Linked DNA regions of Caenorhabditis elegans. The protein of the gene in region 1 interacts with the protein of each later gene in a pairwise test. Each region holds a gene or a part of one and is shown on either strand. Other genes may lie near its edges.

Evidence for each region. Proteins that work in one complex are often made in the same cells at the same time.
Region 2: the proteins of lgc-22 (region 1) and F53F1.6 interact in a two-hybrid assay, tested with the Caenorhabditis elegans proteins (one large-scale study listed by BioGRID).

The regions. Positions count from the first base shown.
Region 1 is NC_003282.8:4,296,948-4,305,998, forward strand, and holds lgc-22 (ShKT domain-containing protein), read left to right. Parts: upstream 1-4,358; 5' UTR 4,359-4,361; coding exon 4,362-4,949; intron 4,950-5,384; coding exon 5,385-5,519; intron 5,520-5,624; coding exon 5,625-5,672; intron 5,673-5,826; coding exon 5,827-6,115; intron 6,116-7,095; coding exon 7,096-7,373; 3' UTR 7,374-7,501; downstream 7,502-9,051. Other genes in the region: F15E6.9 (RING-type domain-containing protein), read right to left, coding at 1-84, 286-638, 683-810, 1,445-1,548, 1,681-1,749, 1,907-2,125.
Region 2 is NC_003283.11:13,414,465-13,421,662, forward strand, and holds F53F1.6 (Protein containing ALS2cr12 (ALS2CR12) signature), read right to left. Parts: upstream 3,150-7,198; 5' UTR 3,141-3,149; coding exon 3,084-3,140; intron 2,891-3,083; coding exon 2,786-2,890; intron 2,728-2,785; coding exon 2,525-2,727; intron 2,477-2,524; coding exon 2,311-2,476; intron 2,164-2,310; coding exon 1,939-2,163; intron 1,872-1,938; coding exon 1,761-1,871; 3' UTR 1,632-1,760; downstream 1-1,631. Other genes in the region: cut-2 (Cuticlin 2), read left to right, coding at 636-724, 914-1,472; srv-8 (Serpentine Receptor, class V), read right to left, coding at 4,753-4,831, 4,879-5,162, 5,311-5,449, 5,508-5,620, 5,726-5,879, 5,927-6,017, 6,123-6,276; srv-9 (Serpentine Receptor, class V), read right to left, coding at 6,676-6,751, 6,801-7,084.

The DNA.
Region 1 (9,051 bases):
AATTCTGTGAAGAATTGACGTTTTTCCGGTACAGTAGTCACCGACGAGCAATATGGATTTATGAGATTTCAGGTTGTATTCTATCTGAAAAAAAATGTTTTTTTTTCTTTTAATATTATGAAAAAAATATGAATAAAACATTTTTTTTCTCCAATTCCAATTACTTTTCCGCTTGTTCTTGCACAAATTAGAGCCGCAAATAAAGTTAAAATGGAAATTAAATTTTTCGAAGTTTTGGGAAAAATCTGGAAGTTTCCCAGAAAAAAATTATTTCCAGTTGCTCACCTTTGACATAATAGTCTGATTAACATGAAGCTGTGAATAATATTCGTTCATAAACTCCTCAACACTCGGAATTCCCGCTTCTCCATCTGGAAGCTTCTCCAAATACTTCCCCACCATTGCTTCTATCGGCTTAGTGATTCCACTTAATTCGTCAAACATAATATGTTTAAAGTGAATATTGTTAATTCCAGATGTTCGTACAGAATACTCAATGAATTTCGACGCAGGTGCCTCTCCTCTCACCATAGTTGTCAGGTATTTTGCTCGTTCCCGATTCACAGGACCATCTATAAAATGGGTCACATTAAAGGGAAGCTCCTGGTGAAAACTTGGGTTACGGTAGAGGAAGAGAGCTGTAAAAATGCAATTCAGAAAAAGCTACATCTAAAAAGTCTACATTTTTCGTTTTGAAGACCTGAGAGTTGGAGGAAAACTTCTGAAAACGATTGGCCTGTGGAAATTGAGTGCTGCCGGAGAAATGATTGGTCGGTAAAGTTGGGATCGAGTATGTATCCGGAACATTCTCTGGAATTGACGAAATTGCGTGCTTGGTTGCCTTCCTCCCTTTTTTTGTTACAAAAAATCTTTCCTGCGTACTTGCCCTTTTCAAAGCGATCTGTCTAAGTCGGCCTAATGCCTATCTACCTACCTTTAAGGCGGTACCTGACTGCCTTTTTATCAATGTGACCTTAAGACAGCCTATGCATGCCTTCCTGCTTACCGGTCTTTAAGGCGTTTTAAGCCTGTTAACCTGCCATGCTTATTTACATTCAGGGCATTCTATGCGCGCCTCCTTACCTTAAATGTTCATGTGCCTGCCTATGTACATGTCAACGCCTTTTCCAGGCAATCTATGCCTGCTTACCTACGTCAAAGGCAGCCTATACCTTTTACAAGGCATCCTTTACTTTTTAGATTTAAACACAATAATTAAGAAACTGGATCCCCCTGTCCTTAATCCCAACAAAACATTATCCAGAAATCATGTCCACCAGCGTATTTCGACAATCATAATCATTTTTTATCCGTCCTCTAAGAGACGTCCTTCATTGCCGCCACTAAACAAAACAATGGTCAATCAGCCCCTCTTTCCAGTCTCCGAACGCCTGTTTCCAACTGGTTTTTGGTTCTCTGTCCTGATCAGCCATCATTATCTCACCCGAGGAAGTGCAAATAGAAGTATGAGGAACTTGAAACCGCTTCTCGACACAGTCTTTCTATCAGGTATAGACTAGAAGCTTCCTCCAAATGCGCCTTTGATCCCTGTAAGATTTTGAATATAGTTTTGACTTAAAACCGCCTATTATCTGCCTATTGCCTGCCTAGTACCTGCCTACTGTCTACCTACTGTCTGCCTACTGCCCGCCTACTGTCTATCTAGGTTTGAAAACTCACCCAACTGAAGTCCTCCACCTGTAAAATCACATGCTTCTCCGATGCAATTGGCTGTAATTTGTTTTCCACCTGAAAACTTCATTTTTTCAAGTGTACTATAATTCTAGCGCATATCCCAGATTGCAACAAAAAGAGGCGTAGCTTAATAGTCCCCACCCACAAATTGGGCGGAGCTTATTGTATGTTTCGTAAATCACAAAGCTGATCACACGTGAGCGGCACTTACCAAATCCAAAACCGCCCGTCTTTCATTCCTGAAATCCTTGTAAGTAGAAACAAGTAGAATTCTCAAAATCTTCCACCCGCCGTGCTCCGCGAGCACATTTTTCGGTGGCTTCTTCCCGTGGCTCGGCACGGGCTCCGACACGGAATTCATGCGCTTCCACAGTTTATCATAGTCTGACCTTTCAAATTGACTACCATCAGTGGACACTTGACAGCCCATTCACCCCAGCTGGAAATAATCGATTTTTTAGGAGGAAACTGGTTCGGCGGACGGGTATAAGAAAAAGGTAGTGTGTTATTGGGTGGAAAGATGTTTGGCAGAAGATTAACGACGGAAATTAGTTTCTGCCAATTGTTTTTTATAGGAAATGTTTTTAGGTTTGGTAGGAATGTAATAATTTTTTTTTAAAATTAATTTTTTCAATTGTTTATTCCATTATTTGTTATTTTTTTGTTTTGCAAAAAATTAAACGAAAATTCAATTTTTTCAGTTTTGGAGGAAATTTTTATTTTAAAAATTGGTTTTTTTACTGGAATTTGAAAACAGTTTTGCCGGAAATTTCAAAAAAAAAACTTTACAAAAATTCTAATGTTCCAAAGTGTTGTGAAGAGTTTTGGCGGAAATTTCAAAATTTATATTTTTAAAACAAAAAATTGGCACTTCGGGATAATTTTGATTTTAAATTATCTAACAATTTTTGGCGGGAATTCAAATTTTGTTTTAATTTTTTTCAAAGTTTAAAAACAATTTAAACTTTAGTTTAAAAAACAATTGGCGGGAAATAAAAAAAACATTTTTAACAAAATATCTTCCGACAAGACAAGAATTTCAAATATCTTTAAAAAATATAATTTGAATTAAATTTCATTTTTCAAAAAAAAGAACCGGAATTTCAAATTTTAAATATCCTTTTAAACATTTTATCCAAAAAAAAAACCGGTCCTCTCTTTCATTTTCAGTCTGGGTTAAAAAAATTATCTATAAAAAATATGTATAATTTTATTCTTCTAAATTGTTAGTTGGAAAACTTTTGATGTCCATAAGCAATTAAGTCATAAATCAAAAACCAGCGAAATTCTAGTTTCTATCTCAAATCCCGATTCCAAAATCAGAAAATCCCATGACAGTCTAATCCCATAACGATTTGATCATTGGAAAGCCCTTTGTCGGTTTTTGCATGTAGGTGTCTTTTCTCCCCCGTCATTATCATTATCTCGGGAACAGGCCCCCACTTTACAACCTTATCATTATCTCAGCAGACCTGTTGCGTCGTCGTCAACGAGATCTGATGAGAAGAAGCTTAAGGCGGTGGCGGCGGCGTGTGGCGGCTAACTAGCCTTCGGACAACCCGTTTGGGGGATGTGAAGCTGGGCGGACGGGTCTCTCTTGCTTTTTTGTCGCGTTTATTGTTTCTTTTTTCGAGTCGTTTGTGGTCATTATCGGCATGTTTCGTACTTTTGATGAAAACCTTGCTTTCCGAGAATCAATTGGTTTTAATTTTCATTAATTTATATTATGTAAATATGGAATTTTTTCAAGTAAACTACTCTCTCCAGTCTTTTTTGCTCATTCAATTTTAATAAGTTGCGGCCGCCGTTTCCCTACTTTCAATCCAAGCAGAGTTCCTCTAAGGCCCCTCCACTTGATTACACATATCGGTTAAATTTTTAATTTTTGTAAGTTTTTGATTGAAGTAATACTTTTTAAACAAAACTAAACCCAAACGAGATATAAGCTGTAAAAAAAAAAGAAATAAGAAAATCCGATAACAGAAACAAAAATTGTTTGTAAACATTTTCGTTCTGCATAACTAATTGAAAGTGAAGTTTTTTTTTCAATAATTTTCAAATCTATGAATAATCTTCAAAACGTTCACTAAGGCTTATCAAATCACCTGTGACGGCACAAAGGAGCTTTCTGTAGTTATAAAGAGATGGCCAAAGAGCCACACGTGAACTCACAAAACGAAACCTCTCATTGGCCGAAAAAGTTTTTAGGACGTCACCATTTTGAATTTTCTAGGCTCCCTGTAACATCATAATTGTAACCTATAGGACTAGCAGGTGACCGTGGCCGAGTTATTTTCAGGCCGAATGGCTTTGACCGAAGCAATTTCTAAGCTCACTGTCATCATTATATCTTCATCAATTTATTTTTAAAATGGTCAATTCAATTGATCATGTCAAAAAAGGTCGCCGTTCTTACACAAAGTCATATGGGGTAAAAACAGAAAAAAAACCAAAAAAAAGTTGAAAATCGACCATTTCAAATCTAGTTTACACAACAAAAAAAGAAGATACAAACGACGAAACCGGGGCGGTTCGTATTCCATTCCTCTCGTTACCCTTGACTACCACTTAATTATTGATGATCACTTTTCTTTTCAGTTGCCTTCTTTTTTTTTCAACCATTCTTTCAAGTCCGTTATACTCTTCAATACTTAAATACTTCCAGAATGCTTCGGCTTCTCATTGCCACGTCACTGGCCGCCACGTTAGCGTGGGCGGCGGGCACCGCCGGCGGCTGCGAGGACGCGGACCCCAAATGCACCGAATGGGCGGCCACCGGGGAATGTGCTACCAATGCGGTCTGGATGATGGCAAACTGTAGGAAATCTTGTCATTCCTGTCAGGGAGGAGACAGGGCCTGGAAGCTCAGGACCCATATCCAGACCACTTACCAAAATGCGACTGATAACAAGACGAAGGTGGTGAGAGTTGAGAGCGTCCGAATCAACAATGTCGAGATTGACGAACGTCGGCAGAATGTGAAGGTGTTTGGCAGATTCGTGCTCAGCTGGAACGACACTATGGTCTCTTGGGATAAGGAACAGTGGGGGCTCAGTTGGTTGAACTTCTACTGGATTCAAATTTGGACCCCAAATATTGTGCAGATCAACGGTGGCTCTACATCAAACCCTGGACAGGTGACATCAAAAGTTTTGGCTGCAAATTACACCGGACAGATCTACTTATGGTCGGATTTCTCATTCACTACACCGTTCAGATTCCAGTATGAAGACTATCCAAATGATATGCAGAGGGTGGGTAGATTTTATTATCAATGTTTTAAGAATCAATTTGCCGTTTGGCTTGAAAAAATTTAGAAACACGTACAAAACTATAGAAAAATACTGGTTTACAACATTCTGTCAGTTGGCAATTTTTGATGGAATATGCCAGATATCTTTTGAGAAACTTGAACAATTCGGTGCAAAATTTTTGAACATGGTGCATCGACCCAAATTTTATATCTTTTATCTCTATTTATTTCAAAATTATAGGGGTTAGAAAGCTGAAAAAGTATTAACCCAGTGACTAATTCGTAGGTAACACCTTGTTTGAAAACATGATTCACCGATTACTTATTAATGTAAAATTTTGAATAAAGTTTTTGAGATTTTAAAATTTGAATTTAAGTGTATAGAATCTTGTTTGACAAAGTAACCTTTTTTGAATTTTCAAATTTTCAAATTCAGGTTTGCTATAAATTCGACGACAAACGTCTTATGGCAGTACACTTCACAGTTGCAGAGGGTGTTAAGAATAAGGAAAGAGAAGCCACCACTGATCCATTCGTGTCTGGATGGAAGATTGAAGACGTTGAAGTTGTGGTGAGTTTTTGAGATACTTTGGAAACTTGCAGAAGTTATAGCATTTTTTCAAACCAAATTTTTTGTGTGTTTTTTTTTTAATTGAAATTAAAATTTTCTTTAAAGTCAATTACCCACTCTCCGGATAACGGAGGCACTGGAAAAAATGGATTGGCAAGTTTTGTGTGATGCTTCTCATTTCACAGCTTCTTGTAAATATAGTACAGAGCTTTCGCTTAATTTAACCGCAATATTTATCAATTTTTAATTCAGAGCTTCAGCTTCTACCTAACAGTCTCAATTTTCACCATTTTCAATGTTTTTTCAGGAATCCCCATACACCGTGGAGCAGCTCTCGGATCCTCGTCGTAATCCCTTCGATGTCCAAGCTGACAACGGTGAGCTCTGTATTTCGCTGAGAAGAAATGCGGTATATTTCACCGCCGAAATGTTGCTCCCAGCTCTGATCACCTCTCTATTCACGCTGGCCGCTGTGTTCTTCCAACTTTCTAAGACCCAGCCGATTCTTTTGGGATTCTCGGTAGTTGCACAGATTTTGTCACTTATTTTAGTGTCTCAGAGACTTCCATCGTTCACTGCACATACTCCAACTATTTGTAAGTTTATTTCTGTGCCAAGAAAGCTAATATGTGAGCGGATTTGCGTCAAAATCATTTGAAAATTAAAAAAAATTATTTTTGAACAAAAGTTAATTGCATATCGCTTCATTTTATTTTTCGGAAAAAACTACATTTCAGTTTTGCGCCAATTTAAATTGAAAGACTAAAAATTAAATTGTTAGCAATAATTTAAAATTTTATTATTTTTCGTAAAATTTTTTCCTTATAAAACTTTTTAATATTTTCAAATATTTTTAATTTTGGCCACTTCTAATTTAAACTCTGAAAAGTTTAGCTTGATCAAAAAAAGTTAACCTTAGTTTTTGAAAAAATTTCAAAATTTTCAGAAATTTTTCGAAATAATTCCCAAAAAATTCAAACATTTTCATACTCGAATATGTTAGGCTTTTCGTTGTTAAAACTGCCAATATGTGGACGGACGGAGTCGCATCAAAAATATCAAAAAAATTTTGAAATCGATTTTAAATAATTTTCAATCATTTGAAATTGGAATTTGCCGCCAGATTTATTTGAAAAATCGCATCTCGCCTCAATGTTTTTTTTTTTGGAAAAATTAAACGTTTTTTTTTTTTATATTTCAATTTGGTTTTATTTTTTAAATTTTTGGAAAAATTAAATTTCAATTTTGCACCAAATTAATTTGAACATTTTAAAGTTTGTCAAATACTTTTGGCTGAATTGTAAATGTTTTGAAATTAAAAAAAAACACCTCGAATTCAACACTTTTGGGAAGTTTAGCTAGATCAAAAAATTAAAAGCATTATTTTTTTATTTTACAGAACCAAGTTGTAAAAAATGATCAAAAGACTGCTAAAATTCAAAAAAAAATAATAAAAATTTTCCAATAACTTCCAAAACTTCAAATCGCTCTGAAATTATTGATATAAATTTTTTGCAAAATCTCAGAAAATTTTCGAAATTTTTCTCAAAGCTTCCGAAATTTCAAAATTTTTCAGTGAAATACGCCGGCTTCAACATGACGTGGACAGCGATCCTCTTCGTAATTTCCCTAGTTCTCGAGAGAATGGCAACTTCACAAGTAGACATCCCACCCCCACATGGAGTCTCCACATTTGCCGGGCTCGTGAACAAGTTCCTTCCAATTCCGAAGAACTCAAAACACGAAGATTCAACTCTCCAATACGCTGCATTTGCTCATGCTCTGAACCACGTCATCTTCGCTTTATCCACTGTTCTCTACTTTATCGTTATATTGTTCTCTTTTGTTTTTTAAATTTTAGTTTTCTTTTTGCAATATTTTTTGTAAAAATTAGTTGTTCTTGCTCAGTTTCTCTTGACACTAATAATTTCGCCATATCGAAAATCATGTATAATAAAGACATTTTTAATGAAACATTGATTCTAGCAATACTTCAATTCAGACCAAATTCTAACTTTTGTTTTCTAAATTTTGGTGGGAAGTACTTAAGTTTCGTTTCGACGACCTTTCGATCATGAAACTTCTGCCCGGCAAGGTGATTCTGGAGTGAGCGGAACAGATGGTAGTCAGTAGGAGCCAAGCCCGGCGAATACGATGGGTAAGACAAAATTTGGATTCCGACTGTCTGGAGCTTCTGGCGGGTCTTAGAAGTTGTATGCGGTCTTGCGTTGTCATGGAGCAGCAACAACTTTGATCCTCTAGGGCGATGTAATCGATGAGCATGGACCACCTCTTCCAATTAAATGCAGTATAGGCCAGCGTTGATTGTAGCAAAGTCTGGAAGAAGCTCTCTGGAAATGACACCCTTACTGTCCCGCCCAATTGAGAGAAGCACTTTTTTCCGTGAAGTTCTCATTTGAGGTCAGGTGTCGCGGTTTCCTCGACCGGGACCCACTCTTTTTTCCTGGTATGGCTAACATACAATACCCATTTATCATTTCCAGTAATGATATCCTTAACCCAGTCCGTTGTTCGTTTCCTAGTGAGCAGCGAAAGAGAGAGGTCACAAAGCAATTTTTCTGAGAATCGGACAATTTGTGAGGAACGAGTTGACCGAACTTTTCTATCTTTCCGGTTTTTTGGAGATGGTTGATGATGGTTTTTTGGGGATGCTTGAAAGTCGCAGAAAGTTCGCGTGACGTTGCTCTTGAATCATCTTCCAGGGCTCTCGAAATATCCTCATCGATATCCGAACGAGAGCTATCTTATCTTGGTTTATCATCGAGATCGTAGTTCTTTTTCGTGAACTTTTCGAACCAAAACTTCATGGTATTGTAGGTGACAGAGTTCTTGCCTAACACTGCACACATGTTACGACGAGCTTCGTTGCAATTGCAGCTTTGGGGGAACTCGTACAGAAAAACCCCTCGGAGGGCGTGACGTTCGGCGAGCAAATTCTCGGTCATTTTGAACAGCACCCAAAAGTTTTTTCAAATGTATTAAACATGCTCATTACGTACTATACAAATAACAAAAACGGAATCAGAAAAAAATGAATTAACGCTGAGAAATGAAGAAAAGCACAAATTTTGCAAAGACTTTTTGCTCAACCTAATATAAAGCGCGTGTCCTTCCGTCCGTTTGTAGTTTGTAGTTTGATCTTTGATCTTTCAACTCTCTATTCTGTAGTTGGAAGTTGTATTGGGTTGGGAGTTGGTGATGGATAATGCCAAGCTACTGTAGTAGTACTGTAGGAGTACTGTAGGTATACGGTAGGGTTACTGTAGTTTAGGAAAAATTGAGTTTTTGTCTACAGAAGAGGTATTGGGTTGGGAGTTGGTGGGAGATAATGCCAAGCTACTGTAGTGGTACTGTAGGAGTACTGTAGGTATACGGTAGGGTTACCGTAGTTTAGGAAAAATTGAGTTTTTGTCTACAGAAGAGGTATTGGGTTGGGAGTTGGTGGGAGATAATGCCAAGCTACTGTAGTGGTACTGTAGGAGTACTGTAGGTATACGGTAGGGTTACCGTA
Region 2 (7,198 bases), on another chromosome or scaffold:
CTTTTAAAAAATAAAGTGCCTAAAAATCTGAAACATTGGGTATTCGAGATAGTTTTTCATGAAACTTGTAAAAAAAATTAAGTTATGCTAATTTCAAGATAACAAAACCTTAATGCGTTTCAAATCTATCTAGCTTCTAGTCCTGTAAAGAACAGTTTCAAAGTTTCGTCAAACGATTTTTTGGCAAACCTTGGACTTTTGCATATGTATTATTGCATGCCTCATTTCACGCATCTATTCCCATCGTCTCACCGTAAAATCCTGATAATCCTAATTTCGCTTTTTCGCCCCATCAATGCCGCTGGTTGTCTCACCTTCCTTATATCTATTATCCGAATCCATGATCTGCCGTTGTCTGGCATGAGGTGAAGAGAAAGAGAGAAACACTTTTCGTTGCAGAACTCGTCATATCAATTGTCCTTTTCCGCGCGTCCCTCATGTCCCACCGTGCCGTACGTCAGATTTCCCTCAATGTCGCAATTTCTGGTTTTGACCAATACCTTCCTCTCGCCTGAAAGGCAGGCTCCTTTGGCATTTTATTCGAAAAGCCCCGCCCACATGCTTCACCCTTTTTAAGCGACGGGCCAATCGGTAAAAGTCATCCAATTCATTTGGTTCTAACACTTCTATTAAACATGCAGAAGCTCATCGTTTTCTTCACAACCATCGCCGCCGCTCAGGCTTTCCTTCTTCCATCTGGAGGAGGTGGAGGATGTGGATGCGCGTAAGTTTTTGATTTTATTGATTTATTTTATTAAATTCCAGATTTTTTTTTATATTCTTCACCTATTTTATTTTTCTGGTTCCTGAGATTTATCTTTAGTAAAAGCCATTCATTGTCGATTCCTCTAATAGTAAAACTGCAGAAATCAAAACTTAATTTCATGATTCAACTTCAAATTTTCTTTTCCAGTCCACCACCACCACCACCACCATGCGGATGCGGAGCACCAGCTCTTCCACCACTCCAACTCCCACGCTTTGAGCTCCCAAGACTTTCTCTTCCATCCCTCGGAGGAGGATGCGGAGGACCAGCTCCATGCGCCGCTGCCCCAATCGCTGCCCCAGCAGGAGGATATGCCACCGCCCCAGCTGCTCCAGTCGGAGGATACGCTACCGGACCAGCTTTCGGAGGAGCCGCCCCAATCGGAGGAGCTTACCAAGCCGCCCCAGCTTTCGTAGGAGCCGCCCCAGTTGGAGGAGCTTACCAATCCGGGCCAGCTTTCGGAGGAGCCGCCCCAGCCGGAGGAGCCTACCAATCTGGACCAGCTTTCGGAGGAGCCGCCCCAGCCGTCGGAGGAGCTTACCAGGCCGGACAAGCCGCTGTTGAATCTGCCCCACTCGGAGGAGCTGCCCCAGCCGGAGGATACCAAGCATCTGCCCCAGCTGCCGTTGAAGCCGCTCCAGCCGCCGGAGGATATCAGGCTGCTGCCCCAGCCGGAGGAGCCTACGCTGGACACAAGAAGAACTAGACGATCTAATAACGTTTAGATATATCTCCTTTTATTTATTCGTTGTTATCAATTGTTGAATCTTCCTTTACCTGTATATCAAGTCAATTGTTTTGACCCAATTCTCGAAATGAAATTTTGGTCTCAAACACTGCTCTCTGACTGCAAGAAAAGCATATGTTTTTTTCGTAAACTTTTTATTTCTGAACATTGGAATCTGGCAAGTTGAACAAAATTAAACAAAGACTTCGAAAGTCTAACTGTGAAAAATAAGTTAAGGTATTTTGAAAACAATTTTGAGTCCATTGTTCAATCTTTAAGTGTCTCGACATTGTTGAGATAAAATTGTTTGATTCCTTGGGCAAATATGAAGAAATTCTCTTTCAGCACTTGTACATCCACATTTAAATTGACTCCTTCCTGAAAGTTACAATTTCAAAAAGTCGATCACAACATAAGAATTCCCTATTGAAGCATTCAAACTGACCAGGTATTCTGCGAGTAACTTGATAAAATTCGCACTTTCATTTTCATTCAATAGAGTTTCTAAGCTTTTTTTAAAGCCTCCTTCTAAATCTTTTGTGTTTATTATCCGAATGATTAAATTTTTTTCGTCCATTTTAATTTGAGTGTTACACTCTCTTAAAGCGGATCCACATTCTCTCAAGAGGAAGAAATTGTCATTGTTCTTGTCATAATTAGGGCCACCTCTCTGCAAAAAATAACTAATTGATTAAAGATTTTTAAGTTTAAAAGTGCCACATACTATTTCTGGGCTTTGACTGACTGAAATTTTGATTTGAATCAATTTTTTTGTTTATTTTTTGTGTGGTTTACTACTTCAAAGATATAGACTAACGTGTTTAATGGATTCATCAAGGGTTTGGATCACAGTCTGCAACGGAACTAATAATCGATACAGTATGGCAATCAGAAGATTTACAAGGAGAGTCACTTCGGAATGACGGTCCCATGTTTTATTGAAACATGAACGAAGAAGAACGCTCATTGCTTTGATATCTTCCCTGAATATTAAGAAACTACTAAATTGTTTTGAAAAATTAAAAATTCACCATAGCTTGCTGAAATGGGCAACCGATGTTTTATATTCATTTTTTATATTTTCTTTAATTTGTTCTATGTCCTCTTGTCCGTATACGGTGTATTCATTGAAGCAGAAAATTGCATCAAGCCGTTTGATATCGTTCTCTACTTCTTCGAACAAACTATCGAGTATATTTTTTACGTTGACAACGTGACTATAAAATTGTTCAGTCTGGAATATTAATCATTTTAAGGTGGGTGGACTGATTTTCTAAAATTATAAATTGTACCTCTGCGTACTCTCTAGTCATTGTTCCATTGGAAATTGGCATGTACGTTAATGGTAAATCACCCCAGTGTTTTTTCTCCTCGTTAATTTTTTTCTTTGTCGAATCCTTTAAGAAATGTTTTAAAAAATTAAACGTTTTTAAAAATTATATTCAAAATCTAATAAATTTGTACAACTGCTTATTAATGCTCTTTATGAAATAGACTTTCATATGGCGCCTCTGTTTACTTTCAAAACTATAAATCAATTGAAATTTTCTAACTGTTTCTATTAATAAATTAATCAAACGAAAAGCTCACCAGTTCCTTCAATGCATTATCCTTGATCTCTTGTTTGTATTTATTTAATTCTTCCATTCCTTCACTGGAATTCAAGTTGATATTGATTACAGTTACAAGGATTTAAATTTGTTTAAAAATAGAGTACGTTTACTATAATTTTTGCCTTGTGTTTTTCAGATAAAAACAGTAATCAGTTGAAAGCACTTGAAAGAATATTATATGCGATCAGAGTTTAACACACATTAAATTTAAACTTGAACATTGAACTTGGACAAGACTTGGAAAATGTCTTAAAACGACGATTCAGTCGACGATGTCTTTTGATATTTGATTTAGAATTTGGGGCTAACGCCTCGTAAAACTAGATGTAATGTTAATCTTTATTCAAAACAATACAATAATCCTACAAGGGACCGTCTTTAAGTACTTAGGTTTTCAACACAAATGTACACTATGGTGGTAATAGTTTCCTCCCGAATTAAAAATAATCACTAACAAGTTTTGAAAAATCATTGCTTCAAGTGGAAAAAAAACTAATCGGAAAAAGTGAAGAGAAGTATTGATGAATGATAAAGCGTAGAATACAACTATCACATTTTTAGCGGTTGTCGGAACAATCATTTTTGTGATAGGAAAGTTATTTAAACATTGAATTGATTTTTTTTTGATTTCTAATTGGATTGAATATACATTTTTGCAAACACCAAATAAAAATCTCTGCGAACATAGAGGCGGTTGAGAAGTTAGACACCAGTTTGTTCCCAAAGTGATAGGCCAGCTACAATGTGTATAGTTTGCTCTCTATTGAGTTGAAGATCTTTTAAAGAATCATGGTCACTGGTCTATTTCGGGAAATGATCATCAAAAAACCATCTGACTTGATTGCGGATGTTTTTTATCTGCGTCGTATTTGACACTTGACAGCTTCAGGGAAATCACCAAAAATATACCTAGTTTACAAAATGTTCCCTGCTTGCAAGATTTACACTTCTACATTTTCTACTATTTTTAAAGATCTATGTGTCTCTTGTATAACACACGTTGTAAATAACGGAAATTAAAAAAAAATTTAAAATGTAAAAAATCCATATCAACAATGAAAATAGTGCAAGGATACGGGATTTCAAAAGATGAAAAAACTGTGAGATCTTACGCGATAAAAATTACTCTAATATCGAGTGAAATTTGAAAAAAAAAGTTATTCACACTGGGTTGAATCGTTATTTTTATATACGTAAAACTTTACAATCAGTTCCTAAATGGGCGGCGGGAAGCTGAATTGAGCCAGTTGAGAAAATGACTCATCGCTCGTGTTCTGTGCTCTTTCTTTACGTATCACACAGGACAGCCATCGTACGAGTAATTAATGAGGGTTTCTTCCCACTTTTTTCTCATTGACATTTGATTGAGGAAACTTATACTGATGTTTTTGAAGGTTTCATTGTACTGATAAATTTTCAAAAACACTCATGTAACTTTTGTTGTGATATTTTGAAAAGAAAATAACTGTTGTAGAAAATAACTGTTGAAAAGAAAATAACTGTGTTTTGTAGTATCACGAAATCGAGTGTTTCTCAATTCAACTATAAGATCCCGTTCAATAATGCATGAAAAAGTTATCATTATTTCTAAAAAGATAAGAGCCGACAAGCATTCAACAAAAAAGTCAATTGAATTTGATTTCTTTTCATTTGTTGTTATTTTCCCGGCTGCCTCCTTGGACTGAAATTGAAATAGAACGAGTTGATCGTTTTGAGCTAAGCCTTCTGAAATACATATTGTTTTTTTTTGGGAATTATAGTGTAAAGCGTACAAAAATCTCTGCTTAAACTGCACAGTTATTGGTCTTGAAAACAAAAGTAACATCCACGCTGAATAGGTTGAATAGATGACACAAAGAATATTATAGAGAAAATAGAAAACTCTCTTGTTCATCGTTTGATTTATTTGGAGAGAGTACACAACAAATGCAAAATAAATAAGTTCGAGACTACAAACTATAGCGGTCATTTTGTCCAGGCTGCTCTCTTTTTTCTGTTTTTCTCTACTGTCAAGATATTTGGATCCGGCCACCGAAGTGCGTCTTGACAACACTTTCTGAAAGTAGCAGTCAAGATTTATACAATTTTTTTTGTTTTTTTTTTAATAGAGTACAAGTTTTGTTTTCTATGTTTTTGTAAGATCATGCCGATGTTTCACTATCCACATTTCATTTTCATGCTTCTTTCTTATATTTTGAACCCACTTTTTTGAGTTTAAATCTATACGTTATATAAGTGACCAAATTGTTCACAACAATTGCCAAAACAAAAAGAATTTCGAGTACCGCCACAAAATTGAAAAATGGTTTCCTGAACTCGTTGTTAACAAATGCCGAGTAATATCTGAAGTTTAAATGCAAACAAAAAATGTGTTCTGAGGTTAAACAAGTGTCACACATACCCTCCGTTCTCATTCACATACTTGTACTCGCGTGGGAGCAAGAGAAACACTGATGCAACTGCTCCTGAGAGTTGGATGGCTTGCATTGTGTACGTGTATTTTGGATAACTCAGCTGAAAACTGATAAGACGATGAGTCATGAAGCTGACTTCAGGAATTTTCAAAACTGGGGAACTGGTTTATAAGCACTATCGGTTTATGAATCATCATGAATCTACCTTTTGATAAAACAATGGGAAGCAAACCGCACAAACACGACAAAATGATAGTATTGAAGCGGTTGCTCCTTGGACACAACGACCTCCATACGAAATTGCATAGAAAATTGCACCGAGCCAGCTTTCATTCGGAAAATAAAATAATGCTAACCATCTGGAAATGTGAGGGTTTTGGTTAGAAGATATGTGGAATACGGTTACTGTCTAGCTGGCAGGATTTGTAACGCAAAAAGATTTACGGCAGATATCATGTCAACAAGAATTCCAATGAACATAAGACGGTAGAATGGGCCTGAAACATTTTTTATTTCAGAGAAATTTGTGCTGTTTTGAATTAGTTCTTGGATTTTTAAACGTTTTTTGAATTCCTAAAACCAATAATATTATCTTCTCTGACCTTTGAAAGTAGAATTCCTCGAAGTGAATAAAATTTGTATTTCTACAAAATAAACTGCAAATGAAATAACAGTAATTGCAAATAAAACAGTCAATGAAGCTGTCTCTGCAATGAGAAACCACTCAGAGAAGCTGTCGTAAACCACGTTATTCATCTGGAAAACTGAAATTATCCTGATCTCAGGAGCTGCAAATGAGAGATCCAAAAAACTGAAATAGTTACTTCAACAAAAAACAAAAAACCAAGAAACTATTTTCAGATTCGAAATTGTGCTGCCTGATCATAGGCCAACCTATTTCGTTTTGAAAGTTTGTAAAATCTGTGTTTGGTTTTGTTTCAAGATTATTGAAGCGAAATAAAAAATTGGAGATGCATGTTAAATGTGCAGCGGTGGGAAAATCAGAGGATTTGCGAAAATGTGAGTAAGTGGAACATGTGACAAAAACCCCCAGAATATGAAATCACATTTTTCATTCGAGTAAGTAACCAATTTTTGACCGCTGGGAACTTTGAGAACTTTGAGATCATATGTACAAATTTATTCCATAAAAATTCATGATTTGTTATTATCTCGACTTCCTTGGACGGATATTGAAATTGACCGGGTCAACTTTTTACCACCGAGATTTCTGAAAATGTTGTATTAAGTATTAAATATCATTTTTCTGGGTGATATACGAGAATCGCTGACGAACTTGAGAATTAATAGGTTTTGATATGATCAGAAGCATCCAGGCTGAGAACGTTGAATATATGACACAAAGGATGTTATATAAAAAGTAAAATATTCGCTTATTCATGTATTGATTGATTTGAAGTGAATAAACTACAAATGCAAAATAGATCAGCTCAACCAGGCACACTATGAACGTCATTTTGTCCAGTCCATTTTCTCGTTTTTGTTTCTCTTGGTTCGATTGATGTTGACTTGGTGTAATAGAGTTTGATTTGATGGCAGATTTCTGGAAAATTAGGTCTGAAGTAAAAATTTGAGTTATAAAAAATACTCTACTTTTCTCTAGAACATTTCTCTAATCTCTAAAAAACTGTCTCTACTTTTGGTTGATTCGAAAATC